3 linked regions of the Elephas maximus indicus genome follow. The protein of the gene in region 3 purifies or fractionates together with the protein of the main gene of each other region. This does not show direct contact. Links are inferred from orthologs where the notes say so. Each region holds a gene or a part of one and is shown on either strand. Other genes may lie near its edges.

Region 1 (7,844 bases), on a different chromosome or scaffold from region 3:
CCTAAGCACGCCTTCCACCCCACCCTGGAAGGTCAGAACAAATCACGGGGGGTCATATATGTCTTCTACTCTAATTCAGTGGCCTAGCTATTTCCCAAGCAGCCCCTGAAACACTTGTGGTCCATTTGAAGGAGGAGAGTTCCTACAAAGAAGGTCCTCAGTGGCCCAGCAGTTACTTGCACAGGCCTTACTGCCTGCTCTTCTCACTTCTAAGGCAGAAAGGTACTTGGAGTGGGGAGGTCAACACAGTCCATGACCCCAGACGACTTGTGAGAGCCCAAGGCTCTGAATTCTGACTTTGAAAAACCTATTGCAAGTCAGCTGCTTGCGTGGACCTCGGTCCTCTTCTTAGCCAAGATTACATTCCCTCTGCGTGGACCCCAACTCCCACCCCTCATGAGATTCACCTGGTTAGCCTCAGGACTTGCTTAATACATTGACTCCTCCTGGAAGCAGTCACTAAAACACCATGTGCAGGTTGTTGTTCTTGGCTGCCATTGAATTGAGTCAGCTCTTGACTCATGGTGACTCCATGCACAATGAAACCAGGGCTTTGAAATGGTTTGTTCTGGATCGAACCCCTGCTGAAAATCTGTATTTCCACCCCAGATAGTGAATCAGAATCTACATTTTAACAAGATCCCCCAGGTGATTGTTAGGTATAATAAATTTGGGGAACAACTGCTGTACTAGCGGTTCTCAGAATTTGTCCCTAATCAGCAGCATTAGCATCAGCTAGTAACTTGTTAGAAATGCACATTATTGACAGGGGTTCAAACTGGAACAAACTGGTTCAAAGTCCTGAATGAAAGAAAAGGCTGCCCAGTCCTTTGCCATCCCCATGATTGATTGCAGATAGGACCATTGTGATCTGTAGGGCTTTCATTAGCTGAATTTCAGATATAGATCACCAGGCTTTTATTCCTAGTCACTTGTAGTCTGGAAGCTCTGCTGAAACCTGTTCAACATCATAGCAACCCGTAAGTCCCCACTAATAGGTGGTGGCTGTGGATAAGGAGCATTGGAGGGACCCTTACGCAGGTGCCATAGCACCCTGTTCTTTCCTACCATACATTATTACTGTAATTGCCCGTTTACCTCTCCCTGCAGGTAAGTAGCACTGTAAGGGCATGAGGTCAGGAACCTTGTTTTTTTTTTAATGGTTGTATCCTGGAAGGAAAATTGGAAGTTGCCCAAAATGAAATGGAATACTTGAAGATAGATATCCTAGGCATTACCCACTGCCGTTGAGTCGATTTCAACTCATAGCGACCCTACAGGACAGTGTAGAACTGCCCCATAGAGTTTCAAAGGAGCGCCTGGTGGATTCGAACTACTGACTTCTTGGTTAGCAGCCGTAGCACTTAACCACTACGCCACCAGGGTTTCCATCCTAGGCATTAGTGAGCTCAAATGGACAGCTACGGGCCATTTTGAATCAGACAATCATATGGTTTACTGTGCTGGGAATGACAAATTGAAAAAGAATGGAATTGCATTGATTGTCAAAAAGAACATTTCAAGACCTATCCTGAAGTACAACGCTCTCAGTGATAATATACATACGCCTACAAAGACGAGTTAATACAACTATTATTCAAATTTACATACCAACCACTAACGCCAAAAATGAGGAAATTGAAGATTTTACCAACTTCTGCAGTTTGAAATTAAGCAAACGTGCGATCAAGATGCATGGATAAGATAATTACAAGTGATTGGAATGTAAAAGTTGGAAACAAAGAATAAGGTTCAGTAGTAGGAAAACATGGCCTTGGCAATAGAAACACCACCAGAGATGCCATGATAGCACTTTGCAAGACCAATGACCTATTCATTGGAAATACCCTTTTTCAGCAAGATAATTGGTGACGGAAGGAATACACAGGAATCAAACTGACCACATCTGTGGAAAGAGACCGATGGAGAAGCTCAATATCATCAGAACAAGGCCAGGGGCCAACTGCGGAAGAGACCATCAACTGCACATATGCAAGTTTAAGTTGAAGCTGAAGAAAATTAAAATAAGTCCATGCAAGCCAAAGTAGGACCTTGTGTATATTCCACCTGAATTTGGAAACCATCTCAAGAATAGATTTGACACATTGAACGCTGAACACCAGACGAGTTGCGGGACAACATCAATGACGTTATATATGAAGAAAGCAAATGGTCATTAAAAGGACAGGAAAGAAAGAAAAGACCGAAATGGATGTCAGAAGAGATTCTGAAACTTGCTCTTGAACATAGAGTAGCTAAAGTGAATGGAAGAAATGATAAAGTAAAAGAGCTGAATGGAACATTTCAAAGGGTGATGGTTCAAGAAGACAAAGTAAAGTATTATAATGAAATGTGCAAAGACCTGCAGTTAGAAAAACAAAAGGTAAGAACACACTCGGTATTTCTCAAGCTGAAAAACTGAAGAAAACTCAAGTCTTGAATTGCAATATTGAAGGATTTTATGGGCAAAATATTGAACGATAGAGGTAGCATCAAAAGAAGATGAAAGGAATACACAGGGTCACTGCACCAAAAAGAATTGGTTCAACCATTTCAGAAGGTAGCATATGATCAAGAACTGATGATATTGAAGGAAGAAGTCCAACCTGCACTAAAGACACTGGCGAAAAACAAGGTCCCAGGAATTGACAGAATACCAACTGAGATGTTTCAACAAATGAATGCAATACTGGAAGTGCTCATCTGTCTATGCCAAGTAATTTGGAAGACGGCTACCTGGCCAACCGACTGGAAGAGATCCATATTTGTGCCCATTCCAGAGAAAGGTGATACAACAGAATGCAGAAACTATTGAACAGTATCATTAATATCACACGCAAGTAAAATTTTTCTGAAAATCTTTCAGAAGCGCTTGCAGCAGTGCATTGACAGGGAACTGCCAGAATTCAAGGAAATTCAGAAGAGGATGCGGAATGAGGAATTTCATTGCTGATGTCAGGTGTATCTTGGCTGAAAGCAGAGAATACCAGAAAGATGTCTACCTGTGTTTTATTGACTATGCAAAGGCATTCGGCTTTGTGGATCATAACAAATTATGGATAACATTGGGAAGTACGGGAATTCTAGAACACTTAATTGTGCTCATGAGGAACCTGTACATAGATCAAGAGGCAGTCATTTGAACAAAACAAGGGGCTACCGCATGGTTTAAAATCAGAAAGGTGTGTGTCAAAGTTGTACCCTTTCACCATACTAATCTGAAGGCTGAGCAAATCATCTGAGAAGCTGGACTATATGAAGACGAATGGGGCATCAGGATTGGAGGAAGACATATTAACAGCCTGTGATATGCAGACAACACAACCTTGCTTGCTGAAAGTGAAGAGGACTTGAAGCACTTACTGATGAAGATCAAAGACTACAGCCTTCAGTATGGATTACACCTCAACATAAGAAGACAAAAATCCCCACAACTGGACCAATAAACAACATCATGATAAATGGAGAAAATACTGAAGTTCTAAAGGATTTCATTTTACTTGGATCCACAATCAATGCCCATGAAAGCAGCAGTCAAGAAATCAAAGGACATAATTGCGTTCGGCAAATCTGCTGCAAAAGACCTCTTTAGCATTCAAAAGGAGAGATGTCACTTTGAGGACTAAGGTGCACCAGACCCAAGCCATGGTATTTTCAATTGTCTCATATGCATGTGAAAGCTGGACAATGAATAAAGAAGACCAAAAAAGAATTGATGCATTGGAATTGTGGTGTTGGTGAAGAATATTGAATATACCATGGACTGCCAGAATAATGAACAAATCTGTCTTGGAAGAAGTACAGCCAGAATGCTCCTTATAAAGGAGGATGCTGAGACTTCACCTCAATTACTTTGGCCATGTTATCAGGCGGGACCCCTGGAGAAGAACATCATGCTTGGTAAAATGCAAGGTCAGGGAAAAAGAGGAAGACCCTCAATAAGATGGGTCGACACACTGGCTATAACAATGGGAACAAACATAGCAATGACTGTGGGGATGGTGTAGGACCGGGCAGTGTTTCCTTCTGTCGTACTTACGGTCACTGAGTTGGAACAGTCTTGACAGCACCTAACAACAACAGCAATCCTTGAAGGTTAGCACAGTGCCTGATACATTGTAGAAGCTCAATATTTGTTAAAGGAATGAGTAGAAAGAATGGAACCATTCACATCATTCTGTAGTGAGGAGCACAGAAGGAATGACTGGAAGACTAGGAGCAGCCTCTTCCTTTTCATACCCCTTTGTTGAATCGACTGCACCTTTTTGTTGAGTAAATTCACAGAACATTCCTCCTTCCCCGAAAAGCACCTATGCTATTTATATTCAGCTCTACCTGCTCAGAACCCTGTGACCTCCTGAGGGAGGGAAAAGATCCTTTTGTTTGTTTGTTTTAAACAGGTAATGCATGTACATGTTACAAAATTTATAAGATTCAAAAGAGTATATCAGTGAATGTAAGTCTCGCTCACACCCTTTACCCATTACTGGTGCTCCTTCCCTTATGGACAATTACTGTTAAGAGCCTTTTGAGTAGAAATCACTTTAAAGATAGAAAAACTGAGGTAATTACCAGGTTGAGCGGCACGTGTGGACAGAGAAAAAGATTCTACAACTCAGTGTTTAAGGCAGAAAATGGGCCCAGATGTCTTCATCCCTCTCCCACAGGAGCGTCTCTAACCCCTAGGCCAAAGTATGAAGGTCACCCGCAAAAGAAATACCTCGGGAAGCAAACGGTTAACGCGCCGGGCCCCGCCCCTTTAGGGCCGCTTCCGGGCAGAGGGGGCAAGTTAACGTCACTTCCTGGAGACTGGCTGAATCCGGAAGTGATCCCAGAGAACTGAGTTGCGGCTGAGGACCCCGGTGGCCGGCGCTTCGGCCTTCGCAGGGCCAGCTTCGGGACCATGAGCTGGTGAGTGAGGTCCAGGAGGCAAGGGGGTGCTGGAGCCCCAGACTCGCGATGCGCCTTGTCCCAGCGTCAGTTGAGTCCCATTGCCCGCCGGCGTCTGCTCTTCTTGCACGGACCCTCCGCCCTAGACCAAGGCCCGACTGGCCCCGGCTCTAGGGTAGTTAGTCGTTCAAGGGGCCTTCCTCCGGGTGCTCACCCGAAGCCTCCATATCCTGGAATCCCGCATCAGACTTCTGTTTCCTGACTCCTCCTGTTCCAAGAAGCTGGCCCCGTCTTCTTCCAGCTCCTTGGAGTAAGGGACTTCCGTGGTCCCTCCTCTCTTAAGTATCCTTTGGGGTAGAGTAAATGTCTTTTCCTTCTCCCCTTTGCTTATCTCTCCGCCACTCCCATCAGCCTCAGAGCTGTGGCAATAGGGCCGTCAGAGACCCGTTCACTGACCAAAACCCATGCCCTTTCAGATTATCAGCCTTTCCACCACTTAACAGCCTTCACAAGACAGAGAAAACTTGCTTCTCTTTTGGGAGGAGCCAGGATTACCGTTCCCGCCCACCCCCCCTCCCCCGTGAGATTGAACTATTTTGAATCATTTCTGGGACCATTACCTACCTCTCTCCCTCCAAAATAGACATAGTTAAGCTTAAACATTATGGGAGCTATCATGTCTGGAGCAAAGAAGCAAGGGAGTCTCAGCGTAGTAGTCACAACTCTAGAGCTGACAGCTACGTTGTTGCAGAACTATTTCATACTTAGCACATAATAGACACTTGATAATGTCTAATGGTTAGTTTATTTTATGACTCAAGTTGTCCAAAAGGTAATTCCTATATGTTGCTCTGAATTATTACTGTTCAAAGGAGGTACAACCATGGCTTGCCTGCTCTCTGGGGCTTCCTTGGGCCAGCCATGCGAAGAACCTTGCCTCAGGCCCAAGCACTGACATAGCATAGCCACAGCACCAGATCTCAGGGAATCTAACTACAATATGCTTGTATGAATACATTGATCCCCAGAGATGTACGAGATGAATCAACCCTTTTAGAATCTTAGTTCCATTAATGTAGGAACCATGTTTGCCTCTTTGTCCTCAGAGGCTAGCCTGATTCTTTACACAAAGTAAATATACAATAGTTACTTGAGAATGAGTGAAGATAGTAGAATATTCTGGAGGAAGGCTTTTGCAGGCTAACATTTGGTGATCAGTGGAGAATAAGCTCTGGCCACAACCAGCTGATGTGTCAGTCAGTGTCAAGGCCAGCTCTCTAAAGTAAAATTTAAACTATTGCTGCTCCCCTCCCTTGCTTCTCAGACTAAGATTGATAGACAAATGTCAGACAGTCAGTGCCAGCACGTGGAGGGAAGCCTGGAGCCATGTCCTAATAAGCCCCGGGAGGAGCTGCTCCTTTCCCTCCACATTTTGCTCTAGGAGGCTGATGGGGGCTGGAGCCTTAAAAAGCTAACTTTCCCATCTTGTTACAACCTAGTTAGTGATGGACAAATTGGCAGTTCTTCAGTTCCATCTCCTAGAGGAATTGCTTCTTTAAAGTGTCAGTCTGGTTCTCCAACCTTACAGTGTAGATATACTCTTGCCTGCTACATCTTGAATCCCTGCAGTTCTCTTGCCTGATTTTTGCAAAGTAAAAAAGCAGAAAGTACAGATACGTTCTAGTGCTTAGATTGCCATTTACAGTTTTTAAAAATCAGCACAAATTGGGAGAAGATGGAGCAGAGACCACTAAAGGTAAATGGTTCTCTGGGTGATCTGAGGCAAGTTTTCACCTGCGTTGCAGAAAGTTTCTTTTCTGAAAAACTATTAGCCCATTTCCTAAAGTCTAACAGGGTGGAGACAGTTGAAATTGACTACTGACTGTACAGCAGGAACTGAGATTTTCATCCAGTAGAACTAATTTACCAGTACACTGCACATCTTGGCATCTTCTTGGACTGAGGGTCACAACCAAAAGGGTGGCTTTGTCCCCTCAAAGCTGAGATTCCTTTCTCTTCCTCCTAAGAGGGCTTCTACGTCATCTGTTGCGTGGACCCTGACCCTCTCTCCCTGACAGAGGAACAGCACCGGCGCCTTGGCACACAATTGCACTCAGTTCCTGGCTCAATGGCTGGCAAAGGGACCAGAGCTGGGTCCTTCTGATTCACTCCCAGAGTGGTTTTCCTGCTCCCAGAATGAATCCATCCATTCATTTAAGATTGGAATTCTCAGTGGGGGAAGAGACCAGAGTGACGTAGAGCCATCATGGGAGGCTGATGCCCAAGGTCAGGTTCACCAAGCACATGGGATATGCCAGCTATCACTGAATATAGCCCATAGTTCCCAGAGGGTAACCATTGTTCTGGGCTATGCTGGGCTTTCAAAATGTCACACTGAGAAATGTCCAATATTGATGCCCTTTGCACACTGTGGACTTTGCATGAAGAGTGAGAGGTCTTTGTTCTTTGCTTCCTCTGTGCGGGCAGCCCACCCACCCCCTGTTTATTTAGTGGATGCGTGCTGCCCTCCTGCTCTATCTACCTATCCAGACATCTACTATCCTTCCATTTTTGTTCAGCAAGGTAGCTCAGTGGTCAGCCCTACTGAGAAGAAGGCATTTGATAGTCACATTTTAGATCATTGATTCACTTCTTGACCCTAATCCAAGTGTTTCTCTCTCTGTGTGTGTTGTGTGTATGTGTCCTTATCATACTATGGAATTAAATAGAATTAAGAAGAGTGACCTTAATCTGGTTTAGCTGTCTCCAAGTATTGTAGCCTTCCCTAGAACCACACACCTGATGATTTCAGGCTTAAACAACAACAACAACAACAAAAAGCCAAACCCATTGTGATTGAGTCGATTCTGACTCGTGGCAACCCCATGTATTACAGAGTGGAACCGCTCCATGTGGTTCTCTTGGCTGCAGTCTTTACAGAAGCAGATCATTGG
Region 2 (7,189 bases), on a different chromosome or scaffold from region 3:
CAAAACCAGACCTGTGTTGTTATTTGTCTCACACATTTCAAGTCTTCACCCATTTTGCTGTAGACATGGTACAGCATTTCATGACTGGCTGTTACCCAGCATATAGGATGCTCACTGTTCTAAAATCTAGAAACTTCTGAAACAAATCTGGCTCTAAAGGTCTTAGGTAAGCAAGTGTGGGCCCATGTCCCACTCCTGAGGATTGAAGGAGAGGGTCTTACGTGCAGCAGGCGTTCGATAAATGGTAGCTAAGGTCCCCAGCAGCCCCCCATCCATATACATACACACGCTCACGCACTTTCTCTCCCTTCCTGAGGGTCTGCTTAGGGATGGGAAGTAATTTTCCCTTGCCTGGCCACCCCTCATCCTGCCCTGTGCCCCCAGAGATGACCAAGAGGGACGTGCCAGGCTTTGCCATCGGGGGCCTGAGCGGGGGCGAGAGCAAGGGCCAGTTCTGGAGGATGGTGGCGCTGAGCACCTCGCGACTGCCTAAGGACAAGCCCAGATACCTGATGGGGGTTGGGTATGTAGGGGAGAGGGGAGACAGGGCCCCACATGTGGGAGTGGGGGTTGGGGAGAGGGAGGATTAAGCAGGATCCAGCCCTCCCCTCGGGTGGTTCTGAGGGACTATGGCCTAGGCCCAGGAAACCTGAGGGTGGGGAGGAAGCCCAGGCCAAGGGTTTGAGGTTCACTGCTCCCCTCCCCCCATGGCCTCACCCCCAGCTATGCCACCGATCTGGTGGTCTGCGTGGCTCTCGGATGTGACATGTTCGACTGTGTCTTCCCCACACGGACGGCGGTGAGGCCCTGGGCAGGGGCAGGCAAGGGCGGAGCTGGGGGTGGGGGCGGGGAGGGTGAAGACTTGGGTGACCCTCCTCCCCTGCCTCTCTCCTCCCCTAGCGCTTTGGCTCTGCCCTGGTGCCCACTGGGAATCTGCAGCTAAAGAAGAAGCAGTATGAGAAGGATTTTGGTCCCATCAACCCTGAGTGCACCTGCCCCACCTGCCAGAAGTAGGCGAGGCCTAGGGGTTGAGGGAAGGTGGGGGGAGCGGCAGGACCCAGCATTGCTGACCCCGACCCCCTGGACCACAGGCACAGCCGGGCCTTCCTGCATGCACTGCTCCACAGTGACAACACCGCCGCCCTGCACCACCTCACTGTCCACAACATTGCCTACCAGGTGGGCCTGTGGCTGGGTGGGTGAGGGAATAGGCAGGGTTTTGGGCCTCCCTTGGCTCACGATGTCGCCCCCTCCCTGCAGCTGCAGCTGATGAGTGCTGTGCGAGCCAGCATCGTGGAGAAGCGCTTCCCCGACTTCGTGCGTAACTTCATGGACACTATGTACGGGGACCCCACCCTCTACCCCACCTGGGCCACCGAAGCCCTGGCCTCTGTGGGAATCACACTGGGCTGAGCTGGCCAGGGGGCTTCCGGCATTGGGGGAAGAGGGAGGGACTGGAAGATATTGAAGGTTTGGTTTTTTCATTCTAACATCATGACTCTGTGTCTTCTTGGGGAGGAATCCAGTCTTGGTCTCCTTCCTGGTCTGAGCTTCACTGTGACAGACATTCTCCCCTCACACTGATAACAAGTAACCACAGCAGCTCCTGGTATCTGGAAAGCACCTGGCACAGCCCAGTGTGTAGGATGTACCCAAGATGGAAGCTGTGGCCCAGGCCCCTCAGCCACCCTGGTGGTGGGTACTCTTGTTCTTCCCTTTTTCACAGGTGAGAAAACTGAGGCCCAGAAAGGAAAAGGAGCTCGCTCAGGATCACCCACTGAGGGAGTGGCAGACTCAGGATTTGAACTCAGGCAGTTCACGCTCTCAGCCTCCCCTCTGTTACCTCCATGACTGCATACCCTCCGTTAAGTCACCCCTGCCTCATAGCGACCCCATGTGACAGAGTAAAGCTGCTCCGTAGGATTTTCTTGTCTTTAATCTTTATGGAAACAGATTGCTAGGCCTTTCTTCCACAGCACTGCTGGGTAGGTTCAAACCACCAACCTTTAGGTTAGTGAAAAACAAAACCAGATTCGTTGCTGTGGTTGATTATGACTCATAGTGACCCTACAGGACAGGGTAGAACTGGCCCATAGGGTTTCCAAGACTGCAAATCTTTACGGAAGCCGACTGCCACATCTCCCTCAGAGCAGCTGGTGGGTTCAAAGCGCTGATCTTTAGGGACCTGACTGCATACACTTGACTTAATCTCGCTCTCAGTCAACAGTGATGGTAATAGGTGTGGCCTAGTTGGAGCTTACACTGTGTTTGGCACTGTTTTTGATGCTAGTCATGTGTATTTAATTCTTGCAACTTTATGACGCACGTAGAGTTGTATTCCTCATTTTACAGAAGAGGAAACTGAGGATCAGAGCAATGAAGTCATTATCACTCAGCAAATAAACAGGCCCAGGATTCTAACCTAGATATGACCAATTACAAAGCCAGCGTTCTTAGAAAATAAGGTTTGTTATTGAAAAAATAATACATGTGTATGATCAACAATTCAAATAGCACAAAAAGTGCAACAGTTTTTATTGGTTTGTGTATTCCTCCAGAAATTTTCCATGTACACCTATTTTCTCATAAATGTTAGTGTCCTTTACATACATTTCTGTATTGCTTTTTTTTTTTTTCTTCGTAGTATATCTGAGAAATTGGTTTACACCTAAGTACATGGAGAGCTTCCTCATTCTCCTTTATGGCAGCTGCGGCCCTATTGCACTTATTTAACCAGCCCTTCTGGAAGGACAGCTAGGGTGTTTCCAGGTTGCTGTGATCCTGGTCAAGGTTGGCTAACCTTGTTGGTGGCCTTTTTGCCGTCTTTCTGAGCGCTGGGATTTTGGTTCATGCTCTGCCATCTTCCACAGTGGTTCTCCATTTCCCTGGTTACTGCTGCCTCTCCCCCTTCAATGCTCCTGCCTCCTCACTTGGTTCCCTATTCTCTGGCCCATCTGTGCCCAGAGGGATCGAATAACTTATTAAAATCCGTCCACCTATCTCCGGCATCTGTTCCAAGAGGTCAAGAATACTAGTTCCCACACTCCAACTCTGCCTGCAGAATAGCGTGTCTTCGTGGGGAGTGGACCCGGTTGTGTTTCATTGGGTTTCTAAACGACCCATGATGCACTAAAGTTGAAGAGGCAGGGAACAACGTTGAAGAGGTAGCTGCATCAACGCGGGGCGTCAGCGGAAGATACTCCTAGGGGAGGGCACAGTTATTTGCAAAGGCATGGAGCTTGACATTATAGGAATGGACCGTCTCTCGCTAGGGAGCACCAACATCGCCCGGCTCCAACTTCTCTTCAAAGTGCGTAGCGAACCGCGACGAGAGCGGGTTTGCCTGCCGGCAGCCGAGATGCATTCTGGGACTTGTAGTTTTTCCTGTTGTTAGGGGCCGTGGATTCAGTTATGACTCGTAGTCACCTTATGTATAACAGAAACACTACCCTGCCCTGCGCCATCCTCACAATCGTTGCTATGTTCGAACCCATTGTTGCAGCCAATGTGTCAGTCCATCTCGTGGAAGGCCTTTTTCTCTAGAGCTCTGAAACTCAGAAGAGTGACGGGTCGTACCACTAGGTGTCGCCCTTTGGCGAGCGCTACCCTGTACTCCAGAAGTCTCCCAACAGGCGGCCAACAATCACAAGTTAAGAACGAGTTACTTTGATTGACAGATACAGTTCTCAATCAGAATCAGAATTCAGATGTAAAGCCTGCCCTCTTCTGATCTGTTGGCTGGAGGAACGGAGTGATATTTATATAAGCCAATGGGAAATTTTTAGGGAAAACCAGTGTCTAAGGATCGAGCCCTAACATCATTGGTGGCTTTCCGGACTGGCGGGTTTTTCTACCAATAAAGTGGCAGAATGCCTCTTCAAGGGGCGGGACCAACATACCTTTTCCTGAAACACCGCCTCCCGGCCTTGACAACTTGGCTCCGGCCGCTATTGGTTCTTGCATAACAACGACAGTTCTTCCTTCCAATGAGTCCACGAGAAGCTCCCTAGGGGAAGGCTTATTCAGCCGTAAACTCGTGCCTCGCTTCCATTGGCTCGAGTACCCGAGTGGCAGCCAGGTTGACCAATCAAGAGCGGCGCGATGGTTTTAAGCCCAGCCCGGGGGCCCCGGCGGGAGGTCGCTCAGGTCGGGTGTTGCCTGAGAACCGGATGAGGCGGCGACAGTGAGGCCGAGCCGGGAGCCGAGCGGAGCGCCGAGGCCCAGGCGGGCGGGGAGCAACGGCCGCGGACGCCGCGGGGCGCGTCGTTGAGTCGGGGGCGGGCGGGGAGCGCGGGGCGCTCGGGCCGGGGCGGCCGGCGCCATGGGCAACCGCGGGATGGAAGAGCTGATCCCACTGGTCAACAAGCTGCAGGACGCCTTCAGCTCCATCGGCCAGAGCTGCCACCTGGACCTGCCGCAGATCGCCGTAGTGGGCGGCCAGAGCGCTGGCAAGAGCTCGGTGCTCGAGAACTTCGTGGGCCGGTGAGCGAGCGCCGCGGGAACGGCGGGCGGGCGGTGGCCTAGGGCGCGGAGGGCGGCCCGGGAATGGCGCGCCTTGCGCCGCCGGCGTAACTGCGGCGCTTGCGTGCCGGCGACGGGGACAGGGACTGGGAGGCGGGCCCTGTGGGGCGCTCTGGGTAGAGGGCTCCCTACAGGCAATGGGGAGCCGGCCCAGGCCCCAGGGGCGTTCCTACAGTCTGGGGGGCGTGGAGCAGGAGGCGCCATTGACCCCTGCGGTGTGTCACGTTCCCAGCCTTCGCGGGTAAACTCTGCCATCTGGTTGCCTTTGGGTTGGGGTAGGTCCCCCTCTACTCCGTCTGTCTGTCCGTTTACCAGGGGCGAACGCGCCACCTCGGTAACTATTGGGGTGATCCCTGCAGTCGGCTGGCCATTTATCAGGGGCAGCTCGTTCTGGCTGGCTGTGTCTGGCCTGGAGAGACCTCCCTACCACCATTTGGCTGTCCATCTGTCCAGTCCCACGGGCAGCCCCCTGCTGATTGGCTAGCTGTTCAGGATGACCTCTGCTGTCTGGCTGCCTATCCGTTCCCCTCACAGACGTTAGCACTTACCCGTCCCTCTGTCGAGTTACCCTAGCTGGTCTCCTCCATCTAACTGGCTGTCTGGACCCAAGGAGGACCCTGTTGTTTTGCTCTCCTGGGATGACACTTCATTTGGGTCCCTGGTGGACCCTGGCTTCTCTCTTCCAAACAGATCCTTCTGTCTGTCTGTACTGGTGGATCCAATGTCTGTCCATCTCCTAGTCTACCATGACAGTCCCAGCAGCTCCTAGCTTTTCATCTGTCTGGCCTAACCCTTCTGGCAGGGGGTGGGGAAAAGGAGTAGGGGAGAAGAGAGCGAAAGGATGAGGCTTGAATCTGTTCAACTCTCTGTTGGAAGTACGACCTGGGGAACTTTCCCCGGAATTCTTTCCTGGGCCATGTTAGGATGCTCTGGGGCCCTGGATCATGGGCCAGCCCCCAAGTTAAAGCCTGCAAATTGGGGAGCACTCCTTGGAGCCTGGGAAGGGGCTTTTTGCCTCATCAGCCCTCAGTGATAAGAGCTGAGATACAGTCTTTTCTGGACCGTTCTGGAGAGGCCTGTTTGCCCATCCGTGCAGTGTGCAAATTCCACTCTCTGGGCTGTTTCCAGTGTTCAGGAAACTAATGAATGAGACCAGGCCCTACAACCACTGAGGACTGTTGATTCTTCTCTCTCCCTCCCACATCTCTTGTCCTTCCACCTTCCTGGTCACTTCGCTATTCCCGGAAGGGACTCCATTTGTGGCTGTGTGGCTGCCAATGGTAACATCATCGTCCTTGTTATTGTTAATCAGTGTGAAGGGGTAGCGTTCACTGAGCAGGCCCCAGCTGAGTTCTTTCCTTGTTCCGTGTGTTGCATTCCACAATGAGCATGGGGTGATTTCGTTACCATCCTAACCTTAGAAATGAGCAGGGAGGTTCAGAAAGGACTCACCGCTTGCCCAAGGCCACTGGGCTGGTATGCAACAGAGCCTGGCTGGACACCCAGACCTGCTGTTGCCTTCCCAGAGGCCTGGGGTTGTGATCCCAGCGCATGAATTTCCTTCTGTGCTGCTGTGTCCCTGGTGGGTTGGCCTCTGTCCAGTGTAGCGGAAAGGTGTGGGCTTGGGCAGAGGTGGATCTAAGGTATGGTAGGCATGGCATATGCCCTGGGTACCACTCCACTTGAAGGGGAAGCGCCAATGACCAAAAAAACCAACCCGTTGCCCTTGAGTCGATTCTGACTCATAGGGACCCTGTAGGACAGAGTAGAACTGCCCTATAGAGTTTCCAAGGAGTGCCTGGTGGATTCGAACTGCTGACCTGTTGGTTAGCAGCTGTAGCTCTTAATCACTATGCCACCAGGGTTTCCATTAACCTGGCATGACACAATGTCCTGCCTCAGTGTCCTGCCTCAAGCACCATAGACACAGAGGCAGGTGGGTATGTGTGTGTGGTGGGAGTGGGGGTATACCTGCTCTAGGCACAAGCCCGGGGGGAACCAGATGAGGTAGGAAATGATCTTCCCAGGTGCTACAAATATGAAAGGCAAGTGACTGAGGCAGCTGGACAAGACCTGTTGCCGCTATCATCATCCGTTCATTTTGAAATTGTCGGGGCTGGGGGCAGTGCAATTTAGAGATTGCCCGTGGGCACTCAAATGGGGGGCAGGGCGCAATTTAGAGATTGTACAATCTCAGTGCTTGCCTTAGGTGCTGTTTTCTGTCAATATGCCTCTGAACTTGGGCTCAACCAGGCTGGGCTGTGAGCCCCTCTGGCCGTCTTCCTGCCTTTCCAGCCTCTGGTGGGCCTCTGTGAAGCTCTCTCTGTTTCATTTGCTTTGTGACCTTGTGCAGATTGTTTGACCTCTCTGGGCCTCGGTTTCCCCTCCTAAAAATGGGGCCCTGGACCCTCAACAAGGCTGTTGCAAGGATGCAGTGACATGGTGTGTTGGAAGTGCTTACTTAGCGCAGTGCCTGACCGGGCTGCTCTTCACTGGGCTGGTTCCTCTCAGAACAACAGCAAAAGCTAATAAGAGTTAAGTGCCTTCGAGTTCCATGCTGAATTTCATTTAAGCCCCATGAGGCTAATACTGTTATGATCTCCGTTTTACAGGGCAGGAAACTGAGGCTCAAAGAGCTGAGTCCTCTTGCTTGAAGCTGTTCATTAAG
Region 3 (7,641 bases):
TTCATGATGAGTCAAAAACGACTCAACAGCATCCAGTGACAACAATATAACTTTTTACAGTACTGTATAAAGTGATGGAGATCAGCGCTGTCAGAAGCCAAAGAATCAAAATCTGTGTTATCATTCAGCTCTCTGCATTGCTTGCCTAAATGTAGATGTGACTTAGTGTGGTATGAAGTCAGATGACTCATTTCTGTAATGCACAGTACACTTATATCAAACTGTCCTCTGGGGGTGGGGGTCATGAACTTGGCCACAAGTTTAACAAGAGACAGCATTGTGGCCCAGCTGCTTATACAAGTAATGCACTCCAAAGCTGTGTAGGGAGGCCCAACATCACATCGAAAGAAGCACAGTCCCGCCAGGCCCCACAGGAGTCCAGCTTCCTCAGGAGTGTGGCATACAGTTCTTGGCACATTTTCAGGAGGGACCTTGAAGGTCACAGCATCCCTATGCTTCTTGAATGCTGCAAGACAAAATAGTGTTAGAGGAAGGCAAACATGACCTATTCTGAGCAAAGCTGCGAAACTAGGTGAGTGGGGAGCCTGCATTGCACAGTGGAAAGAGCATAGACTTTGAAACCTCATAGATGGGGGTTTGGATCTTGGCTTTATGCTTTACAGGCTCTGTTATCATGGACAAATCAAGTTTTTCCAAAATACAGGTCCAGAATCACAATGGTACTCAAGCTGTCCCTCAAGACAATTCAGGTGTACAGGAGCCAATTTGGGGCGATGCAGTGACTGGACAATAAATCACTTAGTGAAAAAGTTATTCTCTCATCAGCTTCTTTAGATCCTTCTAAACAGATCAAGGGGAAAGTTTGCATTTGGTCCTAACTTTCTAACACTGGCTGCCTTAGGCTGGGTTCTCTAGGGGAGCAAAACCAGTGAAATGAATAAAGAAATATATAGAGAGATTTATTTCAAGGAAATGGCTCGCACAGTTGTGGAGGCTGGCAAGTCCCAAATCTGTGGGTTAGGCAACAGGCTGCAGAATTCTCCTGACTCACATGTTTGCAGGGGCTGATGAATGTAAAACTTATAGGTCAGGCGGCAGGCTGCTTGCTCACAGGGCTGCAGCAAACTAGAGAATCCAAAATCTGCAGGTCAGGCAGTAGGCTGAAGGGATCTCACATCCTAAGAACCAGAGATCCAGAAAGAGCGTGAGCTTTGTCAGAGCATCCATCTGTACTGGATGCAGGCCATACCCCCAAGGAAACTAAACTCCCGTTCCAACAGTTTGGCTGCTCACATCAGATCACAAAATGGAGGATGATTACATAATGTCTGCCAAACCACCGAGAATCATGGCCTACCCAAGCTGATACATAACATTAACCATCATGCTGGCAAATTTCATTCTTTAACAAATAGAGTAGGCCTCGGTCTCAGAACTGAAATTTAATAATACAGTTTTGTTTCTGTTGTATTTATTTTAAAAGTTACCTCCTATGGTGGTGCAGCGGTTAAAGTGCTCGACTGCCAAACAAAAGGTCAGCGGCTTGAACCAATCAGCCACTCCACAGGAGAAAGATGTAGCAGTCTGCTTTCCTAAAGAGTTACAGCCTTGGAAACTCTATGGCGCAGTTCTACTCTGTCCTTTAGGATTGCTATGAATCAGAATCAACTTGATGGCAATGGCTTTGGCTTTTGGTTTTTATGAATTGCAATCTATCCTGGGTTTTCGTTTATGGGTGTGATACAAAATTTCCTTTTAAAAACAACCAACCAGTTGGTATTTAGCCTGTTCCAATTTACGGCGATCCCACATGTTTCAGAATATAACTGCACTCCACAGGGTTTTTCAATGGCTGCAGACTTTTTGGAAGTAGAATGCCTGGCTTTCCTTCCAAGGTAACTCTGAGTGGATTCCAACCACCAACCTTTCCACTAGTAGGCTAGTGCTTAAATGTTTGTACCACCCAGGCAGCCCCTTAAAAACAAAACGAGTCAATTTAAATAAAAACCTTAAACAAAAAATTAAAAAAGTGGTATGACGTTTAGTCAAGAAGCATTATGATGGTTATCTGAGAGTACAAGACTATGGCAAAAACCATAAAAGTGGTACAAGAAGGACTAAAGTATGGGAAACAACAGGAATTGGCCTTACTCTTGCCAGCCAGGGTCTGTTCCTAACAGGAACTAAATGGCCTCCAGCGTCTTCTTCCAGAAGTCACCTGTGCCCTAGCCCAAGTCCACCAGACAGACACCCTCCCTCCAAACTCTCCTGAACACCCCCTCCCCCCGCCATATACCCATCTGGGTCCACCTTTAATCCTCTCCTTCCTGAACCTCTGTCCTGAGACTCCTAGGTACGTTTTGGCACTATTTTAACCAACAGCAAATAGTATTTCCATGCTGTACCCCTTCCTTCTTAGGATGCCTTCTATATTCTACCGCTAAATTGTTGGACCATGTCTTCTTCAGTAATAGAAGCAAGGATGCATTACTTTATCTGCGCTTCTTCCAGAGCCAAGCCTGTGGCTATTTCAGGATTGACAGTTTGTACCATGAGCAAGCCTAACTTTGATTCGTTTTAGCAGCTTGCTACTCTCTCTCACCAGCTTGCCATTGCTAACAGCAGCTTGTGGCTGTGGCATGGAACATTCCAGAGGGGAGCTATGGGGAGTTTACTTTGATTTGGAGCCTAAACATGCCAGGCTGTTAGTGATGCAGTCCGTTGTGACAATGATGGAAACTTTTAGAGGCAGGGTGTCTTGACAGATTGGATTTAGGTTAAGACATGAGATTGAAGGATGACACACTCAAATGGTTGTAATTAACGAGATCAATCTCCATGCACAGAGGTTGATCTGTGTTTTGGTTAGTTAAGGATTATGGGGGGTGGGATTCTTTTTAGTCTTAATATTACACATGTGTGTAGATTACTAATAACGCAGTTCCAGACATATTTATCTCTTGATCATTTTCATTTCCGTCCTTTTGATTGAGGATATTTTATAGTGTATCAATTCACTGACTCAGCATGGAATTCATTCTCCTTATCAGGCCTCACCAGGCCCTGAACAGTCTTGACCTCTGTCTGTTTTCCAATCTCATCTCATAGCACTTGCTCTCTTGCTCACTGTATCAGTCTCCTAGGGGGGCTGTAACAAATTGCCACAAGCTGAGTGGCTAAAAATAACAGAAATTTATTTTCCCACAGTTTTAGAGGGCCTAAAGTCCAACTTCAGGGTGTCAGCTGGGCCATGCTCTCTCCGAAGGCTCTGGGAGAACACTTTTCATCTCTTTCAGCATCTGGTAGCCACAGGTGTTCCTTGGCTTGTGGCAGAATAACTCCAGCCTCTGCTTCTGTCTTATCATGGCCATCTTCCCTCTGCGTGTCAGTCTCTTCTTTTTATAAGGACACCAATCATATTGAATTAGGGCCCACCCTATTCCAGAATGACCTCGTGTTAACTAATTGCTGTGTGTAACTTTCACCTAAAATACTATAATTTTTTTTTTTAAAAGATTCAGATTCAGTAAGTAGATCATTTTGAAGCTGACTCAGGTGATAGAAAGAAAAAGTTCAGATTAATTTTAATCTATGTTAAGGAATCCTGAAATTTTTCTTTTTAACATGAATTTTTTTTTTTTTACATCTACATCGGTTTTTAGCTCATCTTGCTTTCCTATATGGCATGCTTGATTCTTCATCCAAAAAACACTAGCAAAGCGCAACCACAGCAAACAAAATTGTAGTTAACTAGTAGTAACTGTATCTTCAAAAGTAAAGGCATTAGATTTGCAATACTAATAATTTACTCTTGAGGGGAGACCAGGCACTGTTTCAGAGGCAAATGAATCATTTGCTAAGAATTTTGTCAAAAACCCAGGACTTTGGTATTCTGCCAACAGTGTTCACAGGCATCAGGAAGCAGAGGAAAAGAAGGGAAAAAGGATGTATTCCGATGGAATTTTTGAAATAAGATTTATCTCTGTTATGCACGCATAGCGATAGATTTACTTCATTCTTCATAATCTCGTAGGTGAAGTACAGAAATTCAAGCGACATAGCTAAGCAGCGTGACCTTTAATACACAAAGAGAATATTGCAGGGATTCAAGAGTGACTTAGAAGTGTTCTCTAAGCCCCGCCTAGTTCTTGCCTTCTGTCATTCTTTGCTTTTAAATTCTCAAAGATGTCCTGAGAGACTTTGCTCAAAAGAAACGGGACAAACAGAAACAAATGAGTTGTTGTATGACATGATAAAGGAAATTGCCTCGGGGTAGCAAGGAGGACACCACCACAAACAGACAGAAATAGAGCTGAACTTCTCTAGATTGAATTCTGACTTTTTTCTGAGTTGGAGGGCGGTGTGGGAGACGAGAGCAGTATAGGGACTTGGTATGAACCAGGGCAGCACGTAGGCAGAGGGCGCCCGGCAGGCAGCGGGCGCCAAGGCTGCACTAGCCCGGCCCGCTTGGCACGGCTGGGAGCCGCGGAGATGCACCGGGGGCGGGCCCCAGGCGGGGCTCTCCGCGGCAGCTCCGCACCCAATGCCTCAGTTTCCCCCAGTGGAGGTCCTCGGAGCACCGCCCCTCTGACGTCCCGAGGCGGGCGGGGCCGGGGAGTCGGCCGCCAGGGGGCGCGAGAGCCGGGCGGGCGTCGGGGAGGTCGGCGAGCAGGGAGCCGAGCGAGCGTCCCGGGACCGCGCGGTCCGCGCCGGCCGAGGCGGAAGCCTGAGCGGGAGGCTGGAGGCGGGGCGGCTGCGCTGAGTCAGACCGGATTGACCCGCCCGCGGCTTCCAGGGGCCGCGGTGACAGCGGGCCAGGGACTGGCGGCCGTGGCTGCCAACCGCGCCGAGGGACCGGCGGGCTGCGGAGAGCAGGTCAGGAGCAGGGCCAGGGCTGGGCGGGGAGCCCGGAGCTGCTGTGCGGGGGCCGCGGGCCGAGGGCTCCCGCGCTCCGGCGGACGCGCCGCGCGACCGGGCCTGCACCGGCCTCTTCCCCAAGGCAGCCGCTGCGCTCGGCCGGGAGTGCCCGGGAGTCCCTTCTCGGATTAACCACTCTCGTCCCGGATCAGGTCGAGACCCTGGGAGGCCCCCTAGCTGGAGAGGCTGGGTGGCCCCAGTCAGAGGGATGCGAGCATGGACTTTTTTGGTGTCAAGCCCAGGGCTCTTTTCACTGCACCACCCTGCCATTCAGGCAGTGAGGCGAATTTGAGAATTTGAGAGCTGAAATTCAGCATTAGCCCAACCTTCTTATTTTACAGATGAAGAAATTCATCTTCCCTGCCCAAAGTCACACATCCAGTCGGTATAGGAGTCCGTGAGTCAGGGCCAGGGAGGCAGGGATGGATGGTTTCCGAAGCAAGAGGGAGACCTGTTTGGTTGGAGATGCAGGTTTGGTTAGGGTGGATTTTTAGTTACTCACAAACTCCTTTATTCCGGTAGCAGGTACTGATGTCCACCAGGCATCAATTTCTCAAAGCATTTCTCTTGAAAGGAGTGACGGTTCTGTCATTCTCACTGATGATGAATAAAGGATGATTTGAATAAAGGCATATTGGGGTTACAAATTGGCCAGATATGCCACAAATTAGGAGATATGGAGAATGCTTGGTGTTTAAAGCTCAGCTTTAAATTCAATTGCATTATCCCTTATTGCCTGTCTCATTTATAGAATAATGAAGGCAGTCCTGTCCTGTAATATTGGTAACTTACCTTTAACCACTAACCTGTTGCTGTTGAGCTGACTCATCTTTTACTGAAGCAAATCACCAGACGTTTCTTCTGCAGCACCACAGGGAGGGTTTGAACTGCCAGCCTTTAGGTTAGTAGTCAAGCTCTTAACCGTGTGTACCACTCAGGGTCTTGACTGGTCTTGGTTTTGGTTGTGTGCCCTCGAGTCAATTCTGACTCCCAGCTACTTTATAGGACAGAGTAGAACAGCCCCGAGGGTGTCCGAGGCTGTAATCTTTTCAGAAACAAATTACCATTATCTTTCTCCTGCAGGCATCTTTTGTTGAAATATTTTCTTTTTGTAATTAGTAATGCTGTAGTATCTGGCAAGCCACCAGATTGCTGGTAACACTAATATTTAGAGTTCGAGCATAGTTTAGCTCCTGTCATTTACATAGATGAGTTACAGGGGGAAAGTAGGATTGTTTAATCTGTAGTAGTATTTTGTAAGATTGAAGTACCCAACAGCTTGTTGTTGTTAGGTGCCGTTGCGTTGATTTCCACTCATAGTGACCCCGTGTGACAGAGTAGAACTGCCCCATAGGGTTTTCTAGGCTGTGATATTTACGGGAGAAGATTGACAGGTCTTTTGTCTCACAGAGCAGCTGGCTGGGTTTGAACCGTCAACCTTTCAGTTAGCAGCTGTGTTCTTAACCATTGCACCACCAGTCAGTGATTTCTCAGAGCTAGTGCTGCATTTATTACTCTCCCGGCATGAATAGATTCAAGGTGGGGAGCGGAGAGCAGGTTAGTTTATCCTGCAGGACCTATTTTTTCCTAAAATATTGAGTGGAAAGATCTCTAGGGCCTCCTTCCATCTCTGAAGTTCCCTGATTTTACACGTTAACTTGAAACACGTGTCACTAATTGTGACCAAAAAAAAAAGGGTTCACAGATGCGAGACTGGAATGGCGTGCTTTGTGCTCCGTGGAGAATAGCCAAAGTCTGACCTGGGAATGGGGTCTGTGCAGTGCAACAGATACCTTTTGCAATAAGCCAAGAACATTCTGACTCAGAAAATGTGGTAAGATGTCTATTATACAAGTGTTCATACTGTGTGTATTTTCGGCTGAGATAATAACCTTTAGAGATACTTCGTCCAAATAAGTACAAGTTATTTATTTTGTCGTGCAGCCCAAAGTAGAGCCTGTCCCTCCTCTTGTTTCCATCAGTCTCCTGTCTTTTCAGGTTCCCTTCTTCTCTGGGTGCCTTGCTTATCTTCGGAGACCCTCCTCACATCCCTCTTCTCATCCAGCACTGATTGAACTTATGCTACTTTTTCTCTTCTCAAATCGTGATTGAACTTGATCAGTCATGATTCTTGAATCACCATGTAAGATCTCCTAAAAACTTAGGGTGGATATTCGTTTTTAGGGCACAGTGTAAGACTTGGAGTGGCTCTGGTTCTGGAAAAGCGTTAAGTGGACCAGGCTTAGATTTTTATCTTCTGACTGCCTGGAGACTGTAACATAGGAAGTCTCCAGAGCCACTAAAGTCGTTTACCTCTACTTCCGTTGGAAACCCTTTCTTTCAGCATGATGTATACCAAATCTTCAAATTCATTTTAATTCTCAACGTCCCAGTCCTTTTTCACCATTTGGCTAAAATAAGCAAAAATTGATTTTTCAAATTGTAGATACTTCTGTGTGATATTTGCTTTGGGGAATTTATTTAAATGATAAAAACACTTAAAATAGATCACAAGTGGAGACTTGCATACTTATTGCCAGGGATAAGGCTTGAATATTTTCAAGGTTCGTTCTTGTGTTGATTCTAAAGTCAGTTAATGCATGGTATTATTACCGAATTATCTGCTGTGAAATTCGCAAGTATGGGTGGCTTTCTGCTAAGGCATCCTTAACATTTATTCAGCGTACTTCTAAAAAGTTTCTCAGCACCATTTCGGTTTAGTATTAAATAGTTCCTTCTTATACCCAGCTCAGGAAAACACCT

The links.
Region 1: the proteins of DNMBP (region 3) and BIN3 purify together in Homo sapiens (co-immunoprecipitation; 5 studies listed by BioGRID and IntAct, counting the BioPlex papers as one, with this or other methods). This does not show direct contact. The link is inferred for Elephas maximus indicus from reciprocal best matches to the Homo sapiens genes DNMBP and BIN3.
Region 2: the proteins of DNMBP (region 3) and DNM2 purify together in Homo sapiens (co-immunoprecipitation; 3 studies listed by BioGRID and IntAct, with this or other methods). This does not show direct contact. The link is inferred for Elephas maximus indicus from reciprocal best matches to the Homo sapiens genes DNMBP and DNM2.

Annotation. Positions count from the first base shown.
Region 1 is NC_064840.1:51,994,922-52,002,765, forward strand, and holds the start of BIN3 (bridging integrator 3), read left to right. Parts: upstream 1-4,815; 5' UTR 4,816-4,903; coding exon 4,904-4,911; intron 4,912-7,844. UniProt on the Homo sapiens protein: Involved in cytokinesis and septation where it has a role in the localization of F-actin.
Region 2 is NC_064821.1:28,766,069-28,773,257, forward strand, and holds the start of DNM2 (dynamin-2), read left to right. Parts: upstream 1-4,161; 5' UTR 4,162-4,321; coding exon 4,322-4,482; intron 4,483-7,189. Other genes in the region: QTRT1 (queuine tRNA-ribosyltransferase catalytic subunit 1), read left to right, coding at 385-523, 724-799, 901-1,010, 1,092-1,179, 1,261-1,413. UniProt on the Homo sapiens protein: Catalyzes the hydrolysis of GTP and utilizes this energy to mediate vesicle scission at plasma membrane during endocytosis and filament remodeling at many actin structures during organization of the actin cytoskeleton.
Region 3 is NC_064834.1:51,653,446-51,661,086, reverse strand, and holds the start of DNMBP (dynamin-binding protein), read left to right. Parts: upstream 1-4,616; 5' UTR 4,617-4,836; intron 4,837-7,641. UniProt on the Homo sapiens protein: Plays a critical role as a guanine nucleotide exchange factor (GEF) for CDC42 in several intracellular processes associated with the actin and microtubule cytoskeleton.